2 linked regions of the Xenopus tropicalis genome follow. The protein of the gene in region 2 purifies or fractionates together with the protein of the main gene of each other region. This does not show direct contact. Links are inferred from orthologs where the notes say so. Each region holds a gene or a part of one and is shown on either strand. Other genes may lie near its edges.

Evidence for each region.
Region 1: the proteins of mthfd2 (region 2) and hras purify together in Homo sapiens (co-immunoprecipitation; 4 studies listed by BioGRID and IntAct, with this or other methods). This does not show direct contact. The link is inferred for Xenopus tropicalis from reciprocal best matches to the Homo sapiens genes MTHFD2 and HRAS.

The regions. Positions count from the first base shown.
Region 1 is NC_030680.2:34,323,700-34,328,004, forward strand, and holds the start of hras (GTPase HRas), read right to left. Parts: upstream 2,808-4,305; 5' UTR 2,696-2,807; intron 1-2,695. UniProt on the Homo sapiens protein: Involved in the activation of Ras protein signal transduction. Ras proteins bind GDP/GTP and possess intrinsic GTPase activity.
Region 2 is NC_030679.2:121,283,967-121,288,164, forward strand, and holds the start of mthfd2 (bifunctional methylenetetrahydrofolate dehydrogenase/cyclohydrolase, mitochondrial precursor), read left to right. Parts: upstream 1-1,389; 5' UTR 1,390-1,438; coding exon 1,439-1,518; intron 1,519-4,198. UniProt on the Homo sapiens protein: Although its dehydrogenase activity is NAD-specific, it can also utilize NADP at a reduced efficiency.

The DNA of each region.
Region 1 (4,305 bases), on a different chromosome or scaffold from region 2:
GGTACTTAAGCTTGAAGTCAATCTAGAAAATCATTATGTACACATACATATAAAGCGCCAACATATGCAATAGTGTTGTACAACAGAAGGATATACATGTTAAGCATACAAAAACTGAATGATGCATTAGGTATAAAGAGGGTCCTGCTCAACAGTGAAGTATTCTGATATGGAAACCAACAGCCATTGGCTAAAATAAGAAATGAACTGGTACAGTTATGGTATCCGGGTGGGTTTTCTACTCTGCGCCGGGCCCTTCCAAAGATTGTGGGATTGGGGATGGGGGGGGGGGCGATTGTGAATCAGTGCAGTTGCCATTTGTTTGTGTAGCCACATGGTACAATATCCAACCAATCAGCAAAGAGTATAATAAAAAATAATCAGCCCATGAGCGGGCAGTAGAGGGATAGTTCACCTTTAAATTAACTTTGAATATTACCCTGTAAATTATACTAAGAAAGAAAATTTGCAGTTGGTCCTCATTTTTTATGTTTTTTTTATAATTTCACTTTACATTCAGCAGATCTCACCCCACCATCACCTTGTTCCACTTAAATCACTGAAGTGATGGATTTCTGGGACTTGACGTCCCTCTGCTTTCAAGAGAATCTGTGAACCACCCACTATCTGTGAAACTCCCACTATGATAAGCAGAGGGATTTTAAGGGAAGTGTTTCATTACACTGTGAGCCTAAAGGGAGTGGTGTAGGAAACAGTTCATACAAGTAATATGGCACACAAGTAATATCCAAATCCTGCTGAAAAAAAAAAAAAAAAAAACTAGGGGGCAGATGTATCATAATGTGAATTTAGCTTAATACATAAAGTCTAACCAGAAAGTGCTTTTTTTGAATAATGAAAGAGAATATGCAGTAACACATCTTTCCAATACACATTAAACATGTTCAATTGTTTGTAAATTTAAAAAGCAGCATCTGACTGGCTGTTTACATTCACTGCAATTCTGGTTCTGACTCCTGAAACAATGTAGCAGAAGTTAGTCTGGAAATTACTGGCTAAATAGCAGATACATTCACATATAACTTAAAAACCACAGACAATCTTCCTACCTGTAGCCACAATATTTCTGATTTTTTTACCATATGACTGGTGACTCTCAGGTGTGGAAGTTTCTCTGGGGCTGGGCCTGCTTGCTGCCTCTTACTCTTTTCTCTGAATCCCCATGCAGCTGCTGGCCTTGGGTCCCGCCCAGTGCACTAATATTGGTAATATTGGAAATATCCCAGTTTGCTTTTCTATTGCTCTACGCTGTGGCTCTGCAATGTACCGGGAGGCACAGCAATGAATCAGCAGCCAACAGGTAGGTACATGACATCACACAGCAAGAGATGCGGCAGCAGAAACCTTAGAGAACTGCTCTGTTATTGACATAAGACCCTCCCCCATAGCAATATGAACAAAACACTGGAAAGCCTAGAGAGACCTCAAAAAGCAAATTCTCCTTAATTGCATTATCGTCATCCCATCAATATTTCAGCCTGTGACATATCGTTCCAGCATAGGCTCCTTGGTAGCATCAATAGAGCTCAGAGGAGGTTTGTTACAGGCAAGTAGCCAGGGTCAGCCAAGGACAATGAGAGAGCAACATCCCATACCCAACAGGGCTGTGCTGTGTTGCAGGGGTCTGGGGGGGTCCCTTCAGTAATTGGTGAAGCTGAATGTTATTGTGATTCTTATATGTTATTGCTTATTTTTCTTTTCAGGTCCTCTCCTAATCCATGTTGGCTTCAAAACTGGTTGCTAGGGTGATTAATGCCTAGAAACCAGATAGCAGTCAAGAGCTGCAGAAAATAATGTAAATGATTCAAAAACCACAAAAAAAAAAAATAAAAATGAAGATCAATGGCAAATTGTCTTAGAATTCTGCTTTCGACATCATTCTAATATGTAATTGATTCCCATGTTCTCCCTGAGATGAGTGCATTGGTCAAAATTCCTCTTTTACCACAGTCCTGACAGTGATTATCTTGGTGCAAGAGCTCACAATCAGATTTCCTTTTATTAATAGAACAAGGAATGTACCAGTCATAATAGCCTTCCCATCATTTCAATTCCTGCCCATATAACGGCAGACTGGGCAAAGTATGGCAATAGGCACCAGCCTAAATTCCAATGTTAATGTCCTATCCTGGGCTGGCACTACTAAACATCCACTGTATTAGGGCATGACAGAGATGGCACGGAATTAGCCCTGGGACCCCAGATTTAAAAAATCCCCTTGGAGGAAAAATGTTGCTTTAGCACATACCTCAGAGATGTTCAACCTAAACCTATTGGGAGGGTGCTGGCACCCAGCTGTAGTTCAACAACAGGGTCACAGCTTGGTAAGCCCAGAATCACATCAATCAATAACATCATCAACTCATTACTCCGCAGGGGGCGGCAGAACCATACTAACAAGTGGGTTGATTTACAAGACTGCAGCTGGGAAGGGAAAAGGGCTAGCACCACAGTTATTTGCCCCAATTAAAGTTCCCATAAATAGTGTTGGCAACTTTCCTTCTCTAATACAGCAAACAGCATAGCAAAACTGAAACAAAAACCCAGCTTCAACTATTACAATATCCCACCCCCGTTTGTATATATAAGAATAAATAGGAAAATCATTTCTGCAGCCCCTGCAACAGGAAACCAAAGACCCAATCAGGAACGCCCAGCGATCGCAGCTACTTACCGCAGGACTGTAGCAGGTGATCCCCCCCACATTAAAGTCAGCTGCTCTCCCTCGCATAGAACATAATACCTAGATCAAGCATTAGGGCAAAAGGCGCAATTTTTGCGAAGAGCAACAGATCTTTCAGCAGGCAATGTGTGGCGCTGCCCGGTGCCGCTATGTGAGCTGAGCACATACAAGCAGAGCAGCAGGGAGCAGATGAATGGGCGGCTTGGGCGTTGCTCTCTATGCAGCTGCTGCATTCACCGCTCAGGAACAATGTGGGCAGCCCACGCCCAGAGAGCTACTAAAAACCACGCCCCCAATGCAGTCAATCAAGAGTGCCTTCAAGTTGTGATTGGCCGAGGAGGAAGGACTTAGGCGGGAAGGGCATCCCTTGGGTTTGTTATTAGTTGGAGTCGGGGAAGGGGACCCATAGGGAAACGGATTCATTCATTTAGTACATTTACAAGTTTTGCGTTTTTATGTGGTGTTTGCGCTAGCGTTGCGTTACAAAGGTTTGTTTATGACTGCTGGACTCCTAAGAATAATGCGCTTATAGAATTGTTAATGTCTACCCATGTGCTGCTCTGTATCTCACAGGGGTAACTTGCCCACTTGGGCGCATTTTACTACCCGGTGCCGATGTATGCCTTTACAGCGTCTGGCGCGCAGTTTTGCAATTATGCTCTGAATTGTGGGAAGGAATTTTGCATTTTTTTTTTTTTTTAAAGTGTGCTGATTTTTGCATTCTGCAATCGGCGTTAATAAATGAGCTCCAGAGTGTTGGCTTTTGCCTGTGTAATATCATGTAAAGTAGTGTAACTTTACTGCTGGCCTGCAATAGCTTGTTTGGGCCATTCCATTAGCTCAGTGCTGTCCAACTGGCGGCCCACGACCCCCATCTGTGTGGCCCCCCACCTGTCTGGCTGCTTTGATGGCTTACCTTTGTGTAAGATTTAAATGGTATCAGTACTGTGATTAACTGGCCCCCCTGCATGGTTCTCACCTCAGATTCAGGCTGTAATCCCCCTGTATTGTTTAAACATGTAATCCCCTGTGTTGTTCACACCTTTTAATCTCTGCATTGTTCAACCCCTGCAGTGTTCACACCTCAGGCTCAGACTGTAGTCACTCCCATTGTTCACTTCTTCACACCTCAGACATGGTACTGTAGGCAGAGTATGGCACATACAGCCAGCATAGGGCAAGGAGGGTATGGCACACACAGGCAGCATAGGGCAGGGAGGGTATGGCACACACAGGAAGGGTAGGGCAGGCAGAGTATGGCACACACAGGCAGCATAGGGAAGGCAGAGTATGGCACATACAGCCAGCATAGGTCAGGGAGGGTATGGCACACACAGGAAGGGTAGGGCAGGCAGAGTATGGCACACACAGGCAGCATAGGGAAGGCAGAGTATGGCACACACAGGCAGCATAGGTCAGGGAGGGTATGGCACACACAGGAAGGGTAGGGCAGGCAGAGTATGGCACATACAGCCAGCATAGGTCAGGGAGGGTATGGCACACACAGGAAGGGTAGGGCAGGCAGAGTATGGCACACACAGGCAGCATAGGGAAGGCAGAGTATGGCACACACAGGCAGCATAGGTCAGGGAGGGTATGGC
Region 2 (4,198 bases):
CAGCTCCAACCCGGCCCAAGGAAAGTCTCCCATAGGGCTCAATGGCACTCTGCAGCTCCAACCTGGCCCAAGGAAAGCCTCCCATAGGGCTCAATGGCACTCTGCAGCTCCAACCCGGCCCAAGGAAAGTCTCCCATAGGGATCAATGGCACTCTGCAGCTCCAACCCGGCCCAAGGAAAGTCTCCCATAGGGCTCAATGGCACTCTGCAGCTCCAACCCGGCCCAAGGAAAGTCTCCCATAGGGCTCAATGGCACTCTGCAGCTCCAACCCGGCCCAAGGAAAGTCTCCCATAGGGCTCAATGGCACTCTGCAACTCCAACCCGGCCCAAGGAAAGTCTCCCATAGGGCTCAATGGCACTCTGCAGCTCCAACCCGGCCCAAGGAAAGTCTCCCATAGGGCTCAATGGCACTCTGCAGCTCCAACCCGGCCCAAGGAAAGTCTCCCATAGGGCTCAATGGCACTCTGCAGCTCCAACCTGGCCAAAAGACAGTCATGATACTAAAGCTTCAATGAATTCCGAAATGGTTGTAGTCATTGCAAAAAATACTACTTTTTTGTGCAAATTTACGCAAAATGGAAAAAAGTTGCATCATTTTAACTATATTATCGCGGTCATTATGAAAAGTTCTAAACTTTAGAAAAAATACAAATTTTTCGCAGTCGTGATTATCGTGCTTTAATGAATGGGCCCCAAAATGTACACTCTCGCCAGATCAGCCACAGTCCAACAGAATGAAATAATAATCAGTTGAACCCAACCCCGGAGCTGACACACATGCCAAGATAGTCAGGCCATATGATTGAAAATAGGAAAACGCACAGGCAGGTATAGCTAATCTATGGCCAAATTCATACTATTTTATGACATGTTCCAGTTTGCTTTGGTAATAACATCAGCACTGATGATTTCATACACACAGCAGAACAATAGCAGCCATCCGGCAGCCTCAACTCGAACGTTCTTGTGTAACAGAAACCAGACTTCACAAACAACGGGAAAACGTACAATATATTAAAACTGGTGTGAGATAGGAAAGTAAATTATAAGAATGCTAAACCAAAAAACCACACAATCCCAATTCTTTCCCACCCCCACCTTTTTTTTTTTTTTTTTTTTGTTTAAGGCAGACTGCCAAATAGACACGCATACAGCACAAATTACACCCGTCCCTCCAATTCTAAGGACAGCGGCTAAACATAAATAGGGAACTATACGCCGCTCTGAGTACCGCCCCTTTAACCTACGCAGCCAATGACAAAACGCTGTGCTTAATCACATCCTACTCAGATAGCGGGCGAGGCGCTTAGCAACAGTGGGCGTGGTACTGCGAACAGTCGCTGACGTCAGCGAGTCTATATAAAGCCCGCTCTCCAGCGTGGTGTCCCCTTTTAGGCTTAGTGGAAGTTACCTCCCGGTAGCCCTTCGGTGCTCACCATGGCAACCCTCACATCTCTCCGCTTTCTGTGCTGCGCTGTAAGAGCCCAGGTCCGAGCGATCCACTGTACCCCTTGCAGGTAAGTGCGAGTCCCTGCTAGTGACCTTGCCTTATTCAAACTGGTCCTACCCCTGTCGGGACCCCCCCTCATTAGCCGGATAAGATGAGCCCGCCCGCCAAACCAACAAAGGCAGCAGCCTAGTCCGTTCTATGTCAGTGCCAATACTCCTTCTCCGTTGGTGAAGCGGTCTGTCACATCTGTCATATTATGGAGGGGAGGAGTAGCTTATTAGAGCAAGAGGCTGCCAGCTGGGAACCATGCTCATTTAATGCCCTTAAATCTTAAACGAAATAGCATAGACCGTATTGGAAATACAATTCCCAGCGTTCTCTGCGACTGCTGTAAGAGTTTTATAATGTAGGAAGTAGTGTGACCTTAGAGTTAACTTATGCTTTCGTGAAATGCTTTGTTGTTAGTGTTCTATCCACATAATGGCTTTATACAGTGACATGAATGCAGTGTGGGCATTGGCTAGCCCTATAGCCTTAATATGATGGTAGGATGCTTGTAGCCATGGGAGCTGTGTGTATTGGCAGGGACAGGAAGTGAAGCCTGGCTGATGAAATCCCTTTTGCTGGTTGCACTGGCTTTGCCTTCCCTCCCCCCGCTCTCTGATGCCCCGCCCACCTTAAAGTTGAAGCTCAGTGTCTCCCCTGCCATTGAATGTGTATTTCTATATCCACAAACTTGATTTTCGTGAAACATAATTGCTTTTCCATCTGTCCAGGGGGTACCCCAACACTGAATCACACTGGGACACGGACATTTGCCATTATGTAGCTTTGTAATAATTTGTTTTTAATGAAAATGATCAGTGTGTGGTAAGCCCTTGATAACTATTAATCACAATTCATTTAAACAGCACTTCCATAGTGTGCATTTGTGTGTAAGCAAAGGAACCAGCAGTGGGAACGGATAGCACGTTGGTATGATTGTGGCAGAATGATGTTGGTTAGTTCTGGAGGCATGGGAGCAGCTAGTGAGTTAGGAGGAATAATGGCAATGATGAGAGAAGACGTGGGTAACAACTGTGTGGGAACTTACGCTGGGGAAAGTGTCTGGGTTTTGAGGGGATTTAAAATCTTTATTGGAGGGCTGCACTAAAGGAGATGGGAAAGTTGGTCGGGGAGGGATACAAAGGCTGGCAGAGTGCTGGATAATATGCTTTTGTATTATATAGAAGGGACAGGCTGCCACAGAATGCTTCCTTTTTATATTTTATTCTAAATTTGTATATTGCGTAACATTGTCATGTATGGAATAGCTAGGCTGCTAAAGAGCGGCTGAGCTTCACCTACTGTTCCAACTACTAATGTCACTTTTTCCGCTGTGGGGAGTGTCCTGGCCAAAACATTACATAAAGGAAACTGTACATACAGCCAGCCTTTATGTAATGGTGCTCAGTAGGTGTGAGTGGTTTATTCTGCCGACACGCACAACTTTAGGGGCCGCGTTACTTCATCAGCCATTTACTTGTTATGACTACAAAACTCGGCACATGTGATGCAGTTCTAATGACATATAGCCATGTGGGGGTGGAGTGGGGGGTAAATGCACAGTGAGGATGTAAGGATGGAAGTACAGGTATGGGATCCATCATCTGGAAGCCCAGGGGGTGCGGGGGGGGGGGGGGAGGGAGGAAGTGGAAGGAGCTTAGACTTTGTTGAAGTGTTGGTGAAACCTCTGCCCTGTTGGTAGAGGGGTGGGGGTCATCTTTTAGCTAAAGTGTTATCTGGTCTGGTAATACATATTTTTTGAGGGTTAGGGTACAATTATTAACACATAATTATAAAGTACTTACTACTCAAAGTTGTACAATAAATAGGTTTATACATTGAACATACTGATTATGTATTAAAAAAGTGACCAATACAAGAGCTAAAGGGGGCAGAAAGTACTTACAATCGGGAGGGAAACACCTACCTACTTACCTTGAAGACTGACAGCAGTTTGGAACCAACAGTTTTTTTCAGGGGGTAGTAATAGGCAGTGTTAGTGACAGTGCCATGTAGGCATAGCCTAAAGCTAATTTCAGAAGGGGTATGTTGACCACAGCTGCTTTCAGGCAGAAAACAGCAGTGGTTAAAACCCCCTCTTTATTTCTATATATAAAATTATAGGAATGTTATGATTTAAGTACATGTTGTGGTGAGCACAGAAATGCTTAAGCAAATCGAAGTGCCCTGTCCGTTAATTCCTTAAGCCGGCAATTGGTATGAAACAAAGTTCTGTACAATGTTCAGTTTGTGTATGGTGGGGCAACAACCTCATCCTGTTGTGTCATACCATGGATAACAGTTGTGTCTGATGGACATGTTGGGAAAGGTCCCCTGCTGATGCACAATATCTGCCAGTGTTTGGGCAGATGAGGAACAGATCGTTTGACTGTCGGCCCCAGAGGACAAAAAAAAAAGTTGGTCATACGGTATATGGGCAGTTGGACGGTATCCATTCCAAACAGTATCGACCAGTGTATCTTACTGCAATCAAAGTAGCCATATCAGTTGTAAAGTTCAATTTGTCTATTTGTGCAGCTGGTCTTGTATAAATAACAGTTGTTTACTCTGTGTTCATAGAATAGTTGTCTCTTCTCTAAGGTAATGATTAATCGGGTAATTGTTTCTGGTTCTTCTTCTGTTCAATTTTATTATTTTAGAGACAAGAATCTAGTTTTAATTCTTGATATTGGAAGCTGGTC